2 linked regions of the Caenorhabditis elegans genome follow. The protein of the gene in region 2 purifies or fractionates together with the protein of the main gene of each other region. This does not show direct contact. Each region holds a gene or a part of one and is shown on either strand. Other genes may lie near its edges. The genes, in order: F01F1.15 and mab-10.

Evidence for each region.
Region 1: the proteins of mab-10 (region 2) and F01F1.15 fractionate together in Caenorhabditis elegans (co-fractionation; one large-scale study listed by BioGRID). This does not show direct contact.

What each region holds. Positions count from the first base shown.
Region 1 is NC_003281.10:5,865,699-5,874,262, forward strand, and holds F01F1.15 (DUF3456 domain-containing protein), read right to left. Parts: upstream 3,832-8,564; 5' UTR 3,831-3,831; coding exon 3,749-3,830; intron 3,702-3,748; coding exon 3,502-3,701; intron 3,458-3,501; coding exon 3,359-3,457; intron 3,228-3,358; coding exon 3,027-3,227; 3' UTR 2,892-3,026; downstream 1-2,891. Other genes in the region: rabn-5 (FYVE-type domain-containing protein), read left to right, coding at 1-104, 458-608; eng-1 (mannosyl-glycoprotein endo-beta-N-acetylglucosaminidase), read right to left, coding at 842-1,058, 1,105-1,308, 1,498-1,755, 1,798-2,116, 2,204-2,409, 2,704-2,801; F01F1.11 (PAP-associated domain-containing protein), read right to left, coding at 4,066-4,117, 4,448-4,618, 4,662-4,845, 5,138-5,345, 5,394-5,558, 5,610-5,845, 5,893-6,075, 6,128-6,146; F01F1.3 (MIF4G domain-containing protein), read left to right, coding at 7,357-7,426, 7,568-7,695, 7,744-7,871, 8,392-8,506, 8,556-8,564.
Region 2 is NC_003280.10:10,522,847-10,536,348, forward strand, and holds mab-10 (NAB transcription cofactor mab-10), read left to right. Parts: upstream 1-5,237; 5' UTR 5,238-5,401; intron 5,402-6,526; exon of another isoform or gene 6,527-6,952; intron 6,953-7,490; 5' UTR 7,491-7,575; coding exon 7,576-7,657; intron 7,658-7,703; coding exon 7,704-7,848; intron 7,849-7,909; coding exon 7,910-8,016; intron 8,017-8,066; coding exon 8,067-8,462; intron 8,463-8,823; coding exon 8,824-9,249; intron 9,250-9,655; coding exon 9,656-9,791; intron 9,792-9,839; coding exon 9,840-10,227; intron 10,228-10,591; coding exon 10,592-10,660; 3' UTR 10,661-11,534; downstream 11,535-13,502. Other genes in the region: F59B10.5 (uncharacterized protein), read right to left, coding at 33-151, 193-291; F59B10.6 (uncharacterized protein), read right to left, coding at 428-521, 1,041-1,103, 1,468-1,628; R166.2 (Cleft lip and palate transmembrane protein 1 homolog), read right to left, coding at 11,693-11,887, 12,192-13,232, 13,287-13,415. UniProt on the Caenorhabditis elegans protein: Transcriptional cofactor. Heterochronic protein, involved in timing of a subset of differentiation events during the larval-to-adult transition.

The sequences.
Region 1 (8,564 bases), on a different chromosome or scaffold from region 2:
AAGATTCGACAGTCGGAACAAGAAGTACGATGGCAATGGGATGATGATGTAGATCAATGCTCAAATTGTGATACATCGTTTGCTAGAGTTAAAGTTAAACCTCAGTAAGTTTTTGAAAATGGAAGTTTGAATTTCTGATAAAAAATTACAAGAAAATTATTTTCTTCATTTTCAAAAATAAATTTTACACTTTTCCAATTAAAATATGTCAAACAGAAGATTTTAAAAAGAAAAAAAATATATAGTGATTATGAATCAAGCGTTCGGTACCCTTTCTTAAAACGACCTAAAATATTTTTAAAAAAAGGCTTCGAAAAATAAAAAATCACGCATAGTTTTCCAGAAATAGCAGATTTTTATAAGGAAAAATTTTTAAAAAAGTGCGAAAAATAAGAGATAGCACTATTTTACTTTTTCATGGAATATTTCAGTCACTTTTATTTTTCAAATCTTTTAGCTGTCTTCATTGTGGTCGGATATTCTGCATGAACTGCCTGAAAGACACCGTTCCAAGTGGACCAAATCATCGACCAGCCAATGTGTGCAAAGTATGTCACACACTGCTCAATCGGGATACAAAACCATTCTTTGCAACGCAGGATAAGTAATAATTCATCTGGAATGCTTATTCTGTCGCTGATTATCCACAACTCGCCCTTCCAATTTCACTTTCGCCACCTTTTCCCGATTTTATATGTGCATCATCCGTGTGCTAGAATGTCTAGTCTTTTAATTCTTGTACAATGCTTAATCTATTCTATATACGTACATATATACCAGAAATTGATCTAAAATTGTGCATTAAAATTTGTTTTATTGACTTTTATGAAATTAGAATTATTTAATTAGAATCAATGGAAAAGTTTTCGATCACAGTTTCGTCGTTGCTTGATGTCAAGATGCTGATGGATTCCAAATTTCCTGGCTTGTCAATATGCCACGTGGAATCTCCGGTTTTGTCCATAATTTCAGATCTATTCAGAAGCAGGTCAATTGAATTGGAAGTAGTGCAAGTTATGGTCAGGGTACTGTAGTTGACAGAATCGAAAGTGAATAGTCTGGAAAAAATTATAATGAGTAAATTTTTGTATGTTCATAACTTACAGAAATTTTCGATTTCTGCCAAAAAGAGTGAGTCCTGTAGAGTCAATTACTTGGTGGCAGAAGGAGCTTAAAATTTGAGGCTGAAGCTGCACTGTGCTCAGGCGGTAGTGCCAATTTTGATCCATTCCAGTACAGAAGTTGGTGCCAAAGTTTATAGAAGTTAGAGGACGAGTTCGGATGTGTGGAAGAAGTTTGGACCAGAAGCTGGAATTAAATTAAAATTTCAATAAAACTTAAATTGTGGAATTTTTCTGAAAAAAATCCTAATGTAGAATTTTCTAGTTGGAAATAAATTAAATTTCAAAAATTATGTTTTTTATAAATTTATATTTTTATCGGGGTACTGTAGTCTTTTTTTTCTGATTTTTCAATTTTATTTTCAAAAAACCTTACTGAATTCCTTTGCAAATTTGATTTTCCTCAGGAAACTTTTCATAAATCCATCCGGGTGCAAAAAGAGCAACTGACATGTGAAAAAGTTTTGCCAATGCAAATGACTGATCACAATGAAATTCTCCAACACAACCACGAGCCCATACATCAATTCCAACAAAGATCCGATCAAGAACTCCAAATTCAGCCGATCGAAGAAGTTCTTTATCTTTCCAGTTGTAGTTGAGATAGATGGCGTCACAAGCATCGTAGAATTTTCTTAAAAATATTAATATTTCAGTACAGTTCTAATATTCTAACCGATTCATCTCATTCAATTCATTTTGCCAATGCAACTTTCCATTATCAAGTACCGAATCATACCATATCACTTTCGAATTTTCATTCATTTTCTTTGACTTTTCAGTTAAACTCGAACAAAATTGAATCAACAAATCGATTTTTCCTGCATCAATTTTATTTTCAATATTAATCAACCATCCATCAAATCCAAAAAATCTCGCAACAGCCACCAGACAGTCCACTGTTTTTTCTACCGAACCCTCATTTTCCAAGATTTTCGAACAAATATCGTATCCTGGAATCCATTCCGTGATGAATGTTCCAAGTGAAAGAACACCTGAAATTGGGATACTTTGACTTAAAAACCAAGAAATGGACGGGCATGTTTTGTGTTATTTCGATTTTTAGATTTAATATTTTATACCATGTTTATGAGCAATTCGTGTATAATCTTCCGGTGGAATCGTCACAAAATGATGTGAAAAGTAGTTGAAAATGTCGATTTGCCACCAATTCAAGAACATGTACGGGTACCGGTCTTTTTCGAATTTCTTTCCTTCCGTAGACTCCTCTTCCAAATATCCACCACGCATATCGTGGCATACGAGGATTTGACGACCCGAATGTGGTCTGAAATTTTGCCATATAGTAGGGAAAATCCATGATTTTAGGTCTCAGCACGATCGAAGCTTTTGTCCTGTGACTGTGACTGTGACTATTGTTTATCAATAAAGTTATCAAAAAAAGTTTAAAACTAAGTAAAAACCAAATATTATGTAAGTCTACCATACTACTGGGTACTGTAGCTGAAAAAATTGGCTCGCGCCAAAACCATTTTTTTCGCATTCGGGCTAAAAATATTTAACACTATTCTTATTGCCAGGTAGAAAATTAATTTTCTTTCTGAAATTTCATAAAAATTACTTAAAGTTAACCAGTTGCTCACTGTATTGCTCGCCAACATCTTCTCGTGATTTCCAACTCCAGAGCTCTTCGAGTGTGTCAATTGGAGAAATCGTCATCTAATTATAAATAGAATTGTAAGTCAAGATCAAGAGGCTCTGCGATATTTCAATTGATTTCAACTTTACCCTTAGCATTTCACGAAAGGAAAAACTTGAAGTTTATATCACAAAACAAATCACATATAAATTAAAATTCAAACAGATAACGATATAGCACAATTTCCAGATCCCGCAAACGAGTTGAAATTCATAAATTACTAATTTAAAAAAGGAAAATTTAATTTAAAGTTCTTTTCTGTCAATTTCATCATCTGGAATATCAGAAAGATCCATTGGTTCTTCTGGAGCAGCAGGTAGAGGTGCCACATCGACAGCAGTGCAAGCACCCATTTCTCCTTGGCAGAACTGTTTGACGGGATCCTGATGGGCGGTCTTCAGGAAACCAAGAAGCTCATCTTCGTGAGAGTCAATGAAGTCGTTGCACTAAAATTTAGAAATTTAAATTAAAAAATCAAGACTGAAGTTTTCTGCAAAAAACTGAAAAAGTTCTTAATTCTCATTAGGGATTGTTTTCTAATAATAACTAGAGTTTGGAATCCCGTGCTTGAACTTACAGCGTTTTGAAGATTATATCTCATTTTGGGAGACTCATCTCCTTTCAAATGTGTGGCGTCGTTGTGAACGTAGACTGATTTTCCAGTAATTGTATTCACCTGAAGAGAAATTTGTAAAAATCTATACAATTTATGGTTCTTACCACAAGTTTATAGTGTTTCGCATCATCACAAGCGTGCTCAATGATTTCTGTCAAATGAGATTCTGAACGAGCATAGCCGATTTCCTTGAGCCCTTTTTGATCTCCAGTTGGTGAAACTCGGAAACTTCCAACTTCGATTTTCTTTTTCGGGTCGACTGCGGCGATTTTCAGCTCGAAATGGGTTACGAGGAGGGAGCAGGCTGAAATTTTCAATATTTAAAAATATATTTTAGAAAAATCTATCAACCTCCACACTCTAATGAAGAAACCGATGCAGATTGAATACCCGACAGTGATATGAGACAAACCAGTGTAGAAACAAAATGCATTCTGAATAAATGGTTAAAAAGCGTCGATAATGACCAAGTGAAGCGGAGAGAGAGAGAGAGCAAACAATGATTGGGAGAGTGGCAGAAAGAAAAGAAAAAGAACGGTGTTTGGATAGGTATCCAGTGTTTGTGTAAATGGTACTTTTCTTCACGAATAAAACATGAATATTATTCATTAAAGTTGATTGGAAACAACGTATTCAAGAGATCGAAAATTGATAAGTTAAACATTTTTTCAATTGGGAACCGGTCGACGTACACGTGGAATAATGTCGCAGAGCCGTTGTCTGGAAATTTAATTTTAATACTATTCAGATATGAACTCTGAAATCTCGTCTCAAAGATATGTTACCCGGCCTCGTCACGTACAATTTTTTCAAAAGTAGTACTGTAGTGAAAAACTAAAGAACGCTCCGCAACAGCGAGCAGCAATGAAATTTTATTTTTGGTATTTTTCGAAAAAAAGGGAGCGAAAATAGAGAAAAATTCTGTTATCCTGTCGGTAACTGAAAATATAATTGATTTTCAAATTTTACGCTTTTTCCAAAAAAAAATTACACTTATAACTGAATGCAAATTTTAAGGATTTTAAAATCGAAATTATTTTTTAAACTTACTCAAACTGCGTTCGCTTCTTCATATTCGCTTCGGAAGGCAGATCGTGTTCTCTTTTCAAAAATCCTTCATAATCTTTCCATGTAACACAAGAAGTTCCTTGTTCTCGACCACGCAACGGGCTCAACAGAATGCCCGTGTTCAGGCAAAACGGCATCTCTCGGAGCTCATTTCTGAAATTTAATTCAATGTATTTTCAAGGATTCAGGCACTTACAAGCAATCTGTAATTGCATCTCGAAAGAATCTCGTCAATGGATCCTTCAATCGACAAGCTTCTTCATATCGTTGAACACGCATTGATTCATCTTCTCCAAGTGAAATTGATAGTGGTGTCATTGGATCGAGCTGATCGTATGGGATGTTTGCATCGCTAATTCCTGTCAAATCGAGCAGAAACTCTGGAAAAAACAATAAAAATTGATTATTGGCAAGGGTATCATTGAAATTTTTTATGGATTTTTTTTCTGAGAAAATCAAAAAAAAAGTTTAGCAATTTTACAACAAAAAAATGTTTTGTTTAAATCAAATTAGGCTTATACTGTTATCAATCAATATTATTAAGGAAAAACATATAATTGCCATCTAAAAAGGAAAAAAGGTCAACATTTAAAACTATTTTTTGAAAAAACGAAAATTGTTTCCAAATATTGGAAAAAGCCCATGGATTCTCTTTTTTTATTTAAAACTTACGAGTAATAGTTGAAACAATGGCGGATGGTAAGTTAAGAATGGCTCTTCTTTGACTATTTCCAGCTCTTCTTAAAGTATATCTCCAGATCATGCATCTCGGACGGCACGCAACACAAAAATATGCTTTTATAAACTGCTTGGTTTTGTTGAGAAGTTTTGCGTTTCTGCGGAACGTCAGCAAACTGAACACATATTGAAGATCGGCATTCTAAAATTTGGCATTTTTTCATAGAAGCTGAAACAAAAAAAAACTCACAGAGAATACACCTGTTGCTCGAATATTGTAAGAAGTTTGTTGGCAATGCGAGAGATTCATTAGACTTAAATCGATTTTATCGAATTTTGACTCTGAATTTGTGTTGGTCGTCTGTCCTACAATTGTTCCTCTCAGGTCTTTAATGTTTGACTTTAGCGCATTTAGCTGAAAAATCAAAAAATGGAATTTTGAATTCCGGGCTATCAGAATTCTGACCATAATAGACGTTCCAAGCATTGCAAACCTTCCATCAGCCGCCGATGGATTCACCATACCTTCTACCAGCGATTCCATAGAAATATCTCCGAGAAATGTGGCTTCAGATATTCCGCAACGGATGGTTCTCTCCAATGAAGCTTCATTGAGCGTTTTATCCGATGTCGACACCATCACACGTGTTCCAAGCTCGATTATATCGATTTTCTCTGAGGCAATGTTTTGCTCAATTTTTTCTGAAACAATAATTGAACTTTTAATATTTTATTGATAATTTTTTTACCCATTCGATGGATTTTTTTCATTCTTTGAGTCGTCTTAAAATCTTTAATATCTTCTTTTGCATCATTATAAGAATCATATTTTTCTCCGCCCATATAGTCCTCTACATCGACTACGTCTTCCATTTCCATCATCTCATCTTCGTATGAGCCGTGTTCAGAGCTTTTGAAAGCAAACGGAATTACTATAAAGAACATTTTTTAATTTTTGAATAAAATTATTATTTTTAAACTTACTTCTATTTGAGTTATTCATATTTTTGTGGTAAATTTCTTGAAAAAAAATAATAAAAGGAAAATAGAGAATAGAGACAAACCGAGAGAGACCAGAGAAACGTTGTCCGAGAGGAGTGCACGGCCGAGAAAAGTCCAACACCTTTTTGCGCGCTAAATTTGAATTTAATTTGCCGCACAAAAATTTTCCTCCCTTTCCAGCCGCAAAATAGAATTTTCTTGAAGTTTCACATTTCCACACGAGAAAGCTAATAAAAATAATTATGTTTATAAACAATCAAGCAATTTTTGTCCTATGCAAGTATGCATGAACCGAAAACAGCGTTGGTGTTTTTATAAAACAACATATTTACAAACTCTAGGATAGAAAAATGAAAAGAATATGACATGATTCGCTAAAAAACAATTAATATCATTGAAAAACGCAAGGCAAATGAACAAAAAAGCAGACGTGAAAATTCTAAAAAGTCTACCATAAACTTTTGCGCGCCGAGACCCATCTGAAAAATACATATGTATATAATTCATGAAAATTCCAATATTTTAATTGTCTATTATATTGCTATGTTCATGTGTTTTGAGCCTCTTCTATGCTCTCCAGAGCTCTCTGTTCGCCACATGTGTTGTGTAATTCGAAACAGCCGTCACTTTTCCTCTGTTTTTCATTTTTTGAGTGTGTGATGCTGCTTGCTCTGCCTTCTGAACTTTGCCATCATGCATTTTCGAAAGAGATAAAAAATCTTGAAAGTTGAGCATGAAGCACCCAATTGTCTCTGGTGACACTTTTCACCTCATTTTCAAATCTCTTGCGTCATTCAGCTCGAGCCATTCGTCTTTCGATTTGACCCGGTTATTTTGTACAATTTTTAGTAGAAAAAATTAGTTTTTTGGGTCCTGACACGAGCTAAAAATTTTAGTATACAGTATCTGTAAGTATTCAACCAGTTCCCACAATTTTTTGAAAACTTGTTAGAAAAACTTAAATTACTGAGAAGTCTTATTATATATCAGGAAATATGAAAACTGTCAAATAGGAAACAACTTTCTGTAAGAAGAATGAAATTCTACAGTACTCGCGGGTACTGTAGCTGAAATATTTCGCTTGCTCTAGAACCCTGATCGTCAATTAAAAAAAATTGGCTAACTCGGCAATATTTGAGAATTATTAAGTTAATCGGAAATTTCAGAAATTGAAAATTTTCAGACATTTTTTTTAAATCAATAATCACGAAATGAACGATGATAAACTACGGAGCCTATTTGCATCTCTTGCAACTCTCACACAACAAGGACCAATTCCAGGTGAGCTATTTAAGAAAATTCGAAATCGTTCTTTGTATGTAGAATCAGGCAAATGTGCCTGCTCACGCCTTGATCCCGTTATTTAGTGAAAAGTGATGTGGATCGTCGCGGGACCCACAATTTTAAAAATTCGAGTTTCAGTGCAAGCCTACAGTATGCTTGCTGGTCAACATTCTACAGAAGTTCTCGCCGAACACATGAGGCTCCGATGGCTTTCGGATGGACGCTTTGGACCAGTTGCTGCAAATATACTAATGCACATCCATAAGGTAGTTCTGTACTACGGTAACCTCAAAAACCACAAATTAAAATTCCAGTCCGATCCAAAAGACATTTCATTATCCTCAAATGTGTTGGCTCTACTACTCAACGACTACCGTAACCGGCTTTCAGTTCGAAACGATTCTCGACTTATGTTCAGGAATTGTGTGAAGACACTTTTTTCGTAAGCAATTTCCAATTTTTTTTTTCGAAAGAAACTATCGTTTTATTCCAATTTTCGAATGTTTCTTGTAGTCAGACACGCAATTTTGATATCATATGATATATCATGTTGAGGTATTGTTGAATGAGAAAGGGTGTGTGCCTTTAAAGAGTACTTTAGTTTCAAAAACTCAACACTGCAGAGCTCTGATGAATTTTTATTGATTTTTCATAGTTTCCCGAAAAAAATATGTGTATTTATTAAAAACTCAAAATAAAAAAAATAGAAATACATAAATACATTTTAACAAATCGTGAGGAAAACTATTTAAGATTTTGAAACTACAGTACTCTTTAAAGGCGCACACCTCTTTTTAGTTAACATAAGCTTGTCGTGGCGAAACCAGGGACCTTATTTTTCTCACATGAATCGTAAGTATTTGCTTGCAAAGAATATAGAAAAAAAACGCGAGAACTGGAATTTTCCAACAGTAAAATTAGTAGTTGAAATTCGATGAATTCATATTGAAATATCCGTTCAGAATGTATCCAGTATATGTGAAAATGGACGAATGTGTGTCAAAATGCTTCATAAAACCAATGTTCTCATCTTTGGATGCACTTATTGATGATGCTCCAGATACCGAAGATCTAGAGGTTTCCACAGAAACATTTTTCTGAAAAATCTAGAATTTTTTAATTTCAGACAGCCGGG
Region 2 (13,502 bases):
AAGAAATACGGTAATTAAGAAATTCCACTTACGGCCGAACTTTTGCAAAATCCATAATTGGTACATATTTTGGAGTCATTTCTCCAGGTGTCGGGAAGTCTTCGTACGCTACCGAACGCTCATATCGAAGGACTCGGCGGGAGATCGGGTGCTGAAAATATATTTTAAAAGCTTCAATAAAACCAATCTCACCTTCAAATTGGCTCTGGTTCCCTTGTCCTTGCTCAATGAGAACTTGTCGAAACAGGCACAAATGACGAAAAGAGCCACGAGAAGGATGAAAAGCCGCATGTTTCGAATCCGTTCCACAAAATTTCAAATGGATCGGGAGAAAACAACAAGAATGAGGATGGAAAATCGAAAGGCAGTTGGAAGTGAAATCGAGGTCAGTGAAAACACGAATGGAAGAAAATGGAGAAGAAGCAGGTCAAACTTGTTCTGGGATAATGATGGATGAAGATTGAGGATTAGGTGCAGTTGGATTTTCTGCCGTTATTTTGTTGTAGGCGTCGAGGAGTCTCCTGGAAATTTTGAAGAATTTTGAAATGCCCAATAAGTTTGGTGTAAAATTAACTAGCAAAATTAGCTAGCTGCCGAAATTTCGGTACTTTCACCGTTGGTGCTGGATGACTCAAAATCCGTAAAAGATTAATTTTTGTTACAGTAAATAAATGTTCTTGAATTTTTTTTACACTTTTAACATAATTTTTTGTAACAGCTAGGAAGATATATACAAACGTTGGAACTAAAGAAGTTAAGATAATTGATTATATTACTCTGAAAATACTGGAAAAACGAATAATATTTTAAAGAAAATCCAGCCGATTGGATGCATCAGAAAAATACTAGAAAAATAAGATTCTTCACTGAATAGTCAAAAGAAGATGGGCGGGTATTCTGACAGCATATGGCCATAGGTCATTTCAAAATTTCTTTTCAAATGTCGTGATGTTTATGAGTTTTGTTGGTCACATTGGGCAGAAGGTAGAGAAAAAAAAAGAAAATAATAAGCAAAAAAAAACAAAAAAGGAAGTACTTACTGTAATTCTTTTGATCGTGCCACTCCATTCTCCTCGATCTTTTTCTCGACTAGACTGAGCTCCCTGAAAATTCTATTTGGTAGTTGTTTTTATTAAGTCTGGCATTTTGAAATGTAAAACCCCGTAGATGGATTTGAGCTGTATGCTAAAATTAAAATGATACATGGCGGTTTATCAAATATTTTTAATTTGTCTGTCTTTGTTTTTTGTGAATTAATTAAAAGTAATGTTATTTTCAGTAAGTACATTTATTTTTCTATATTTTTATATAAATTTTGAAAAGACAATTGGGCACAACGATTAGAAAACGGGGACTTTTTATATAATCTGTAATATTCAAATGTGCCGAACGGCATATATCACACATCTATGTTCAAGATCTTTTCACTGATTTCTAAAAATCATAAAAATGTTCTCATAAACTTACATTTTGTTAATATAACAGCAATACATAATCCAAATCATTGACACAATAACGTAGAAAAATAGAACAATCCAAAAAATTTGAGAAACTTCATCGAAAAGTAGATCAATTGCAGGTTTATATGATTCCATATTCACATGCTTTTCCGTTACTTCTAAATGCATTTTTCTAGGAATAAGCATCATTTTAAAAGAGTTGATAGTAAGTTTCACAATGAAGGTAAGTGTTTGATAACCCGACGCAAAAATGAGCACAATAAGCTCAAAAAGCAAAGAAAAAGCACATTGCGGTAGAAAAAAACGAGAGAGAGAAAAGACAAACATTTGGGTCATGAGAGGAAGAGGGTGCCATTTTGGATACGAGGTGTCATGTTACTATGTTTTTAACTTTTTATTGCAAGAAATTGGGCAAAAAATGAATTGCATATCAGGGAAGTGCGGTAAACGAGCTTTCCGGCAATATTTCGGAGTGTTTTTTGAGAACAAAAATATATTGTTTTCATTTTATGTAAGCTTGCATCTTTTTTCATGAAGTTTTTAGATACAATTTTGAAATTGATATCGGCAGTTGCTGATGTCGCCAAAAAACGGACTATTGTCGAGGTTGCCGAATGTTAAAATGTTTGGCAACCAATGATCTTTATTTGAATTTTTTTTAAATATCTATTATATGATCAGAAATGGTCAGAATTCTTAATTATGTGGGTAAAAGTGATTTAAAATTAAAATAATAATTTTGTAATCAGTGACTGCTAAAAATTAATAAATTTTACACAAAACTTGGGCAAGATTTGGGAGGGGAGAAGAAATTTCATCAAATATTTAAAATAATCTTGCCTGAACTAGGGCGAATTTTTTTTTGAAACGATCATATTTTGAAATTTTCGAGTTAAAAAAAATAAATAAACATCAGGACAGTATTTCCAACGTCATTCTCTGATCCTTTCGTAGACGTTTCGAAGGCCATGACTTCTCTATGTCTCTTCATCTTTAATAGTATTTTCAGAGAGACCGGTCGGATGACAATTTTCCTATGTATTGTGTCTTTCTCGCACTGTCTAATCACTTAAATGGAGATGAAAAAGAGAAGAAAATGCAAAAAAAAATGAAGGAAGAAGATCGGAAAATTGGTGCGGTCTCTGTTGTTTTTACAACGAATTTCAAATTGGAACATCTGATTAATTAGGGTTTAGAGAAGGATGACCAGAAATGAGATTTCTTTGTTATAGCTTAAAAAATCAAGAATGTATCTCTATTAGGACTGTCAACTTAGACAGTTCATATCTCAGTTGTCGTTTTTTCTATACAAAAATTGTTAACTAATAAAATATTTGTCTCTTCTTTTTCTATCAATTTGTAAAACAAACCGAGATGTAACATTTCAAAGTGAAACACTGGGGTGCTGTAGTACTAGAAGAAATACGGTTCATTTTTTAAACGGGTCTCGCTCATTGAACATTAAACATTTATTTTTTAAAAACCACAACTTTGTGCATTAGAATTGTAAAACTAACCAATATGTTCCACTGAGAGTAGTACTGAGCTAGTCATTCTCATCCCCACTCACACAATAATTACAGTGTGAAACGAGAAAATAGATGAAATAAATGGGCGGTTTGCACTTTTACAAAGACTGTTCATTACAGTTTCATTTGATGGTAATTTACACTGTGTGCACCGAGCCAGCACACCTACGCCGGTGCTCACTGTCTAAGTTATGTCTAAGCAAGCAGCAAAAACACACATCAAAATTCTCGAAGTAGTTTTGAGTTTTTGCTCAAATTCAAATAATATTGTTATGCACGAATTTATTCAGAAAAAATAGAATTACATAATAATCAATAAAAAAAGCTATATCTTTCTTTTTCCTGTTAAGTTCGGACGCATTTCAGTAAACGAGCAAGACTAAATATAAGTTTTTTTTAGAGTTTCATGGCAGCAGAATCGCCAAAAACAGCCGTACCATTCATGACCACTCGGAGAGCAGGGAACTTGAGCTTGATAACTGACATTGAAGAATTTCTTGGCAGACCAAACCACGGATAAGCAATCCTATCTTCTGTCCACGTGCGCTTTGCCAAATAATCACCATAACCATATTATTGATTTTCAGAAGTTTCATAAAAAACTAGAGCACTTTCAAGTGTATATGGGTAATGAAGCACCCCACTAACTGTAAGGCAACGTTGAGGGTTCTCCGTACAATTGAATAGTAGAATTTGATACGTCAGAAGAAGGTAGGTACATAACATGGAAGTTATGCTGTCTGAAAACTAACATTTTGTCTGAAAATGTTTTGATTTTATTTTAAAAAACGTGTTGATACATACCTCAATTCCACCAAATCCTCTTGCATTCTGCCATGCAAACATATCAACATCCCACAAGTTTATGAACTTCTAAATACGAGTTTCCAGAACCAATCTCACGATGAGCCCTCAAAGTTTCTGAAGATAAAACTGTGAAGAAACTCTTAGTTACCAACTTTCCAGAATTTTCAAAATATTTTTTTGTAAAAACTATAACAATCAAATTGTTTACTACTCCAAATACAATAGATTCTGTATATTTTGCAGTGAGATGAAATTAGAAAAATCCTAAAGCATCAGTTCCATTTCGTTTTTTGATCAAACAACACATTATCAAAATCATCAGTCGGAATTTTTTCAGATGGATTAATCCAGAAGTTTCAAGAACCACGCCATCTGCTTACAATTTTGTTCTACGAATCAGTAAAAACCATTTTTCAAAATTTTCATTTTTATGAAAGAAGGTGTTTTCCAGGATTCAATCTTGGCATTACTGTAACGAATTATACTTTTGTTTGAAAACATGTTCAAATTATACTAATGATTTTTAGAATACAAGTATTTCAGCAACCTTTTCGCCGAAAAAACGCTTTTAACAAAATATATTTGGCAACTTTTGATAAAATCCTCTTTTGAAGTTACGAACATTATTGAATTCCACCACACATTTGTTTTGGTGAATTCTGAAAAAAAAATCGAATAAGATGAGTTTCAAAATAATTTTGCGGCCTTACTGTACTCAACAGTACTCATATCAATAACATATACAACATCACATATACAGTCTACAGTACTCATGTAGTACTTCTCCAGTGATTCAGCGGTTTAAAAAAAGTCTCACTATCCCAAACACCAACTTGAATCCCCCTTCTTCAACTGCTCTTCATGCCTTCCACTGCTTCTGATCATATCAATTGCTCTTCCAGAGACCTTTGGGCTCCTTGGGTCGGCACCGGACTGGTACCGCTGCCAGTAACACACAAAAAATGGACGCGGCCGAGGGCAGCAGAAAAAGTGCAGAAAGAGCAAGTAAAGCGAAGAGAGTGTAGACGCACTTTTTGTGCAGCAACACTGCCGTCGCCCCCAGGCAGTGCCAGCCATTTTTTCCCTCATGCGTCCCCCCGTGGTCTGTGGGGGTCACTTGCGCCCCCCCGGGCAATTCTGCCCTGGGTGTCCGCGACCGGTACCACCGCCGCTGAGAAGACGCCGCGCCACTGCTGATATCACTGAATGAGAAATAGTATGGAGAAGATGAGAGATTGCAGAGAGAATATAGAGTGTGGCTGCACTATTCTGGCTCTGTCTGTTCCTCTGTTCCTCTCGATTTCTCAATGCCTTTGCTTTTTTTTCAACGCACGCGTGTTCCCCCCTCCAGTTGACCTATGTTCTCTTAATTTTTTTCCTTTTTTTCTAGCGTTGCATATTATCAGTTATCACCTCCACCTCTATCCAACCACTTTTTTATTATAGACCCCGGCCTCACTGTTCCACAGCCTCCTGACCCGGTCGTGCCCGGACCTTGTGCGGCGCCAGACGCGAATGATATTCGGAGACACGGGCTGAATGGTTTCGTCGGTAGAGAACCACGTCATCCCGTTTTCGTCGTCTGCGGAGTTAGAACTGTATCAGGTAAGGTTTTTAGTTTTTTCTTTTTTTAACTATCAAATTGACTGAAATGAGAAAAGAACGGAAGGCAGGCAGGTCTCAGGCATGCACCAGGATCTGAAAACGCGCCTGCCTTCCACCAAAGCCTTAGTTTTGATTTGTTTGACTAGGAGGTCTAGAGTTCAGAAACTAACTATAAGGCCTCCGTGTCAGGAGTGTGGCAAATTTGACAATGGACTTTTTTAGTATTTGCCGAGCACGGCAAATTTGGCAAAATCAGCTAATCCACATTTTTAAAATTTGTCGGCTCGGCAAATTCGGCAAACGACAAACTCGGCGAATTTGACGCACACCCCTGATGTAGTACTTGCCGAATCGACCGAGCTCGGACAGTTTCCAGAATTGCCGGAGATCACTAGTTTCGTCCGTTGGGAGATACTGTAACTTCTAGATTATTAGTTATGAATGTCACTCTTCACTTTATGTCTATTTTCTCCATTTCTCCCATTTTTTTCTCGAACCTCCCACCTATTCCCCGTTGTGTCCCATCCGCCTGTTCGTCGTCGACCTTCTCTCCCTTCATCGCTTCCCAATTTTTTTTCTGTTCACCTCATACTGCGCGCATCTCCTCCCATGTCTACACTATTTTCATCAATTCATGGACATGTGCAGACAATTTCATGGGGGCTTTTTTTGCTAGAAGAATGAGCGTGCGCGCGCCAGCCTCGAAAAGGACGTTTTCGGAGCGGTTTTTCAGTTGGAAAAAGCGATGGAACGAGGTGAAGAAGAGGTCAAACAGATGGTGGTACTGTTGGATGAGAACAGCTGAATTGGAAGAAGGAGGAGGAGCTTGAGTTTTGATTAGTATGCTCTTATAGCTTCTAGACATCTATTTGTCCAAACAGGAAGAAAACTATCCGCCTAAATATTTTATCATATCGGTAAGAAACACCAAAACTTGAAAGTATTTCTGTTAGTCAGAAGTTAATAGATATAGGAGATAAGCTACCAAAATCTCTCTGAAGTCTGACCCCGATTACTGTAAATTTTGAACTTTCGTATCCCCAGACATCCACTTGTCAACAAAGGTCACTTTTTTGTCCCGTTCCTCCCAAGCCCATCCTGTGTATACACACACACAGTCACCTCAATCGTTCGCATAGTAAACCGAACATTTCAAATAATAATCGAACGACGCCTCTTTGGTTTTTTCATCGGTTCTTTTTCTCTCTAAATCTCCCCCGATTCCCGTACTATTCCCTCCCTCCTATTTCTCCATTCTCACCTCCCGGTCCGTCCCGCGTCCGAACGACCGAAGAAGCCCAGTGGCGAGAGACGTTTTTTGTAGGATTGTCTCTGTGTCTCTATGTTTTAAACGCTTTTTCTCGCCCAATGGTTTGCCGGTTTTTCTATGTTTCTTGTGTCGTCGTTTGCGTCCGGGCGCGCCGCCGAGTTTTTTTGACCTATAGTTAGATGTATGGGTGCACTCTTAGTTTAAGACACTATTTCGTCAGGGATGTAGATAGGCGGACGCTGGGGTTTTTTGAACAGGGATCGGGGGCCATACCACTCTCTTTTCTGTGTCGATATGTTCCCATTTTCTTCTCTTCTTCACTCTATTCTAACCTTTTTTGCAAACCTTTTTTATGACTTCGATAGGGAACCTACAGTGTTGTAAAGCAGTTAATACAGTAGTTCAGCATTTTTCAATTAATTTTCATTCTGGGAAAAATATAAATCAGCTTACAATATTTAATTTCTAGTAGTTTACACGTACCTTCTAATAATTGTTTGATATTTTCTCTTTAAGCATACAATCAGTGTGTTTTCTGTAGTTGATTATAAAAATAATATATACCAACTTGGCTCGGAGGTTTTGGAGGCAGCGTCCTGTAAAACTTTGACAGTTTACAACTTCCTGTCGAACTTTTGCAACTTTCCAACGACATTTTGATGTTAAAAAAATTACCTAGCAACTGCCTATCAACAGCTTTTTTTTATATTTTACCGAGTTGTTGCCGAAAAGTTTCTCCTGAATCTCCTTTGCTTTGAGACAAAAAGTACTAGTTCTGTAGTAGACTCCAGAATCTCATATTCAACAACTCATTTTCAGGATACTGAGGCTATTCGATAGCCGCTGCCCTTCCGTCGATCTGGATTGGGAGCGTACCTCAACTTGTGTGCCTTCAGAAGGCATCATGTCATCATCGTCGTCGTCGTCGTTACCCACATCATCTGCGTCAACAACGACTTCGTCGATCACATCAAGACCATCAGCATGTAAGTCCCGACGATCAGGACATCAGAAAAATTAGTAAAATTCTAGCACATCACTTGGAGTCCATACTTAGCTCGTCTTCATCTTCTCCATCAATTTTATCATCTCTTACAACTCAATCCACTTCATCAATACCCACCTCTTCATCATCATCATCACAACGTCAATCAACCAGCAATGCAGATCGCCCTGTGTAAGTCAATCATTTTTATCGATTTCTGGTGATAAGGGAAAGTATTTATGAAATTTTTTAGTTCTCCCAAACCGATGCCGACACCAACGACTCTATCCGAGTGGCAATTGTTGGCTGTACTGAGCAAAGCGAATTTAGTTCAGTACTATGATGTTTTCATAGCACAAGGTAAGGATTCTTCTTTGTGAATTTTCTATTATAAGGTAAATTTGTTTCAGGTGGCGACGATATCAATCAGATCATGGCATGCGAGGAGAGAGAATTTCTGGAAATTATGAATCTTGTGGGAATGCTTCCGAAGCCTCTTCATGTCCGGCGGATGCAGAGAGCACTTGCTGAGTATAGTCAGGATCAGACTGCATTCAACCTGGCAGCTCTTCAACAAATCGGTCCACCACCACCACTGAACTACACACCTGCGGGTACTGATCCGATGGCTCTTCTGCTACCCGGAATCGCCGCTGCCACGTCGCCGAAATTCCCGAGTCTCCGATTTTTGAGTCAGCTGTCGTCAGTTGCTGAAAAAGTTTCGACACCATCCGAAGCAGCAGACACGTCATCATCGTCTCCGTCACTGAATCTGAACACGACATCGTCGAATTCGGTACCGTTGGGTTAGTCTTTGTCGCTGGGCGTTTGGTAGCACACGCATGTCCATAATGCACAATTTTTGTTTTTAGTTCTTTATTTTAAGTTTTTGAGATATTTGTTATGAAATAGTAAAATAATGGTTCACATTTTTGAGTTTTTTTTTGTTTTTTTCTAAATTGAACTAATTGTACCGCTTCAATTACCAACATGTGTTACAAAGATCGAAATTAAGTTAGCACCGACTCCAAGGCTTCATCAATGCACTATATTCAGCGCGTAGATTAGCATACTCAGTTTGTGTTATACTTGTGCTTATACTGTCCCATTCATGATTTTAAGCGATTTTTGAATATTCCCTCAACTCAACGAATCCCAAAATTTCAGCGTTCAAGTTCTCCACTCCTCTACTCGAGTCTCTGGCCTCTGATCAACAGTCATCATCCACCTCATCTGTTCGAAGCGTGCTCCCCTCAACCAGCTCAAACACATCCCACCCTGAGCTCCCTGCTGGAATCCTCCCCGCCACCACCACCAATGTCTCCGCCGCAGTTCCGCCACCATCATCGAGAGCCACCGCCAACGTATTCTCCGGAAACAGCATTGGCCTCAATTTTAGTGGTGCAGCAAGCGTTACACGCCACCTCGTCGTCCCTCCATCTAGCACATCCATTCAACAACCATCCACTTCATTTGGACGATCATCGTCCATCACCGGCCAAGAAAAAGAGGGGTCGTCCTCTCCTTTTTTAGGTGTTGGTTATTCACAACCATATGGCAATGATTTCGTTTCATTGGGAGATTTTGATCCAAGTTCGTTTTTCTAAAGTTTATGCTCTAGCCGAAAATAATCATAGTAGGACTTGGTAAAAAAAAGTGTCAAAAGACAAAAAAAAATTGTTTTTTTGAAAAGTCTATTAAATGCTACTACAGTAACCTTTTCACTAACCTCAACTCACCGATCTTTCAAAAACCCAAAGCTCAGTTTTCTAAAAAAAATCAATAGTCCTACAGTACTCCTACAGTAACCTACAGTTTTACAAGATTGCCTCGCCCATATCCGTCTCCATAAAAATAACTCAGTTTTTCTGAAACTACAATAATCCTACAGTAATCTTACAGTATAGAAAAGGTGCCATGTCATAGTTTACCTGAAAAGAAACACTGCTGTGAAAGCTTTTATAAAAGAAAAACTTCAATGTTAAAATTAATTTTCCAGATAATCCATCACTAACTGAAAATCCGACTCTATCAACTGCTCAAATATCCCGTCTCGCTGAGTGTGCTCTGGCGGCTTCCAAGAATCTCCCGCCACTTCCGCCGAGGTTGGTGCAGAATAAGAAACGAGTTTCAAAGTGAGTCAGAATGGATTCAGACTATTTTATAATTTTTTGAAATTTCAGAGAAGTCATAGAACTCCTCAAATGCTCTCCAGCAACTCCATCAATGATCCACGCGTTTCGCAAGTATTCTGCAATTTACGGACGTTTTGACACTAAACGGAAGCCCCATAAAGTTTTGACACTTCATGAGACAACTGTAAATGAAGCAGCTGCTCAGCTATGTCTTCTCGTTCCGTCTCTTTTGACACGACGGGATGAGCTGTTTCCGTTGGCTCGACAAATTGTCAAAGATGCTGGATATAACTATGCAAAAAGTAGAAAACGACCATGTGATCCAGCTGATTTGCATAGTCCGATAAGCTCGCCGGGCAACTCTCCGCCCCCTCAAGAATCGGAATTCGATGAACAACCGTCCAGTTCTTCAGGTGCTTTTAAGGAGGAAGAAAGGGTAGGCACATTTAAATTGTTCGTTACTTTTAATGCAAAAATACCGTACCTGGTCTCGACACGAATTAAAAATGAAAAAATTTAAATCAAAAATGCTGTGCGCCTTTAAAGAGTACGTACAGTAGTCTTCCCACCTTGCAGCTTTTCAATTTTCTTCGATTTTTTCCCGTTTTTTCATTTTTGTGAACGATATGCAAAATGTAGTAAAAGAGAAAAAATGTGAAAAAGTAGCAATACAACACGGTTACTGTAATTTTAAAGACGCATACCCTTTTTTCTTCAAATTATTTCAGTCATGTCGAGACCAAAAACCATAAAACTTTGCATTTGAACAATAACATTTTTTGATTATCGATTTTTTTCAGCCACCAATTCCACCGGAAGCATGGGCGGCGATAATCGAAAAAATGAAGGGTGAGCTCCCGGAATCTTGAAGCTCGGATTTCCATATTTTTTGTTTTCCTCGTGATCTTTGCAACACCTCCCGCTGGTCGGTTTCCTGTGATTCTCATTAGTTTTCGAAAATTCTCTCATTCTAAACACGCTCTATTGTACCCCACAAGGCGGGAATTTGAATTTAAATTTAAATTCCCGCCCCCTTCGCTCGGAGTCATATAATTTCCTTCTCTTCCTATCACTTTTTTGTCTAGTTTTCAAAAAACCCCCCATTTTTCCGGCGGTTTTTCAAAAACCAATGCCAAGCTCTCATATAATGGGAGTCTAAACACAGTTCGGTTCCAAAACCAACGCCCACGGCCCCGCCCCCAATTAGATAATTTAAATATAATTTTTTTTTCCATTTTCCAATTTTTTAAAAATATTTAATATGTTTGTCTTGCTCTATTGAGAAAGAAATTTGAATTCAAAACTGAAAAACTTCAATTTCGCATCCAATGCATTGCAAGTTGATTGCTTTTATAAATTTTTGGGTCTCGAAGCGAAAAGCCCATAGGATTTTCACAAAAATTTTGCATTTAATGCAGTGAAAATTCAAAAAATTCAAAGATTTTTCTGAATAGATCAAATTTTCAAATTTTCCGGTCATTCGAAATGGCCTAATTTGCTCCAAAAATTTGAATAATCCCGTCATTTTTTCTTTGAATAGTAAAAAAAAGATTTTCTAAAAATTGCCTAAATGTTTGCCACACTTTCAGTCCATTTTATTCACAGATTTTTACAACTCTACTAGTCTCCTCCACCCATCACCACTTTCTCCCCAAAAATGTTTACATGGTTCTTATGCACTTGAATTGTAACTATTTTTTCTAATAAAGAAAAGTTTATAACAAATAAATTAAAGAATTCAAAGAGAACAGGAAATATATAATTGAGAAGTTCAGGGGATTTAAATCTCACTAACGACTGGAAACAAAAAGTAGATGGGGAGATGGACGACAAGTAAATCGGAAGACATGATTCCCGTAACAATAGTTTTGCTTTAATATATTAAAAAAATCAAGTAAATTCTACTTTGTCTTTTTATCTTCTTTTGCATGCTCTGAATTTGGTTCTGATTCATGCTCGGGCTCCTGGGAAGGTTCAGAAGATCCTTCTACGGCCGGCGTCGGCGCCGGTGCTCCAGTTTCCTTCTCGAGGCTTGTGCCGAACTCGTTCAGTCGAGTTGGATCAATGCGATACGCCCAGCGTTGGTAGAGGTAGATCTGGAAATTTTAATATTATTTTTTAATTAAAGTTATTTTGGTATTATGGGGACGCAGAAAAATGAGATTTTTGAAATCGATGTGCACGCGCGCTCCACAGCAATAGATTAGTTGGTAATTTGGCAGCAAATCCGTGAATTCAAACGTTTTCAATTAGTTTCACCGATTTTCAAGAATTTTTCGTTCTTTTTGGCGAAATTGTGGTTTTGAAATAAAATTCCAAACGAGACCCAATACTTTGGGGAGGAGCGTTTTTAAAAGTGCAATTTTCTGCGTCCTCATAATCTATTCGACATTTTCTCACCAGGAAAATGATATCATCTCTGAAGCAACCAATTCTGTAGAGCAACGGCATCCGGATCACAAACGCGAACAAATCATCAATAAACGTATTGATGAATTTGTAAGTGAGCATACGCCACGGCAGATGAGCCACTGATTTGAGCTTGTAGTTAATGAACAGCTGAGGTGTCATGGTAATGAATCCGAACGTGAGCAAGAATCCATAGAGCATATTGAGTACCCAGGAGTACCATCCTTTTTGCTCAACGTAGATTACAGAATAGATGGCATATCCGACAAGAAGTGGGAAAAGTGCCCATCCGAGGTATTTGAATGCCATTTGATCGTAGATCTTCGTCTCACTCTCTACATATGATCCTTTATCACTGATAACCAAACGTGGAATCACTCCGAACCATTTGTTCTGCCAGTCGATGGATACATTCATCACCTTCGGAATCTTCCAGCATTCAATGAGCAAACCAATTCCAACTGTAACTTTCACCATTGTATTTGTCTCATTATCACAAATATAAAGGAAAACAATCAGTGATTGGAAGATGTTGAAAAGCACAGATCGAACTGATAATCCGACGAGATCTTTTCGATTATTCCAAAATTGAATGTCATTCTTGAAAGCCAAAAACTCGAATACGGTATGTAGAAGTGAAACAATCATAGTAACTGCCAAAAGGATTGGATTAGTCTCTAGAAGTGCTTGTTTCATAGAATCATGGCCATCATCATCCATATCTGCACCATCCATAGATAACATTGATTGCCATTGAGACTGCATCCGCTGACTTGCGTACATTTGATATTTGAACACTGACATTGGATAGTAGGTAATTGTCAAGTTAAGATCTTTGACAGTTTCATTGATCGGTTGATAATCTGCTCCGAGATTCCACCAATTGTTATAGAATAAAATAGGCTTGTAGATGGTTCCGTCTTCATTAAATTCAATATCTTCACTAAGTGGTGGTGGAATTTGGCCACGAGCCCATGGAGTTTGATCAACGACTAAAGAGATTGAGATGTTTGGATGCCAGTGATTGAGAACCTGCAAAAATTGACAATAATTCCAAAATTTTCGATATTTGTTTAGATTTTTCACCTCATATTTCATAATCTGAGCTTTGGCAAGATCCTCATCACTCTGCTCACTCTCACCAGTCAACAAGTTTGAAGTTTTTCGATAATACTTCTTCTTGTACTTGTTCAGCTGATATGATTTATAGATGATCTGAAATATATATTTTTGAAATTTATTTTAATCTTGAACTAATCTTCTTTTTCTTCTTGATAATGTTGGTTTTTAAATTTTTCACAA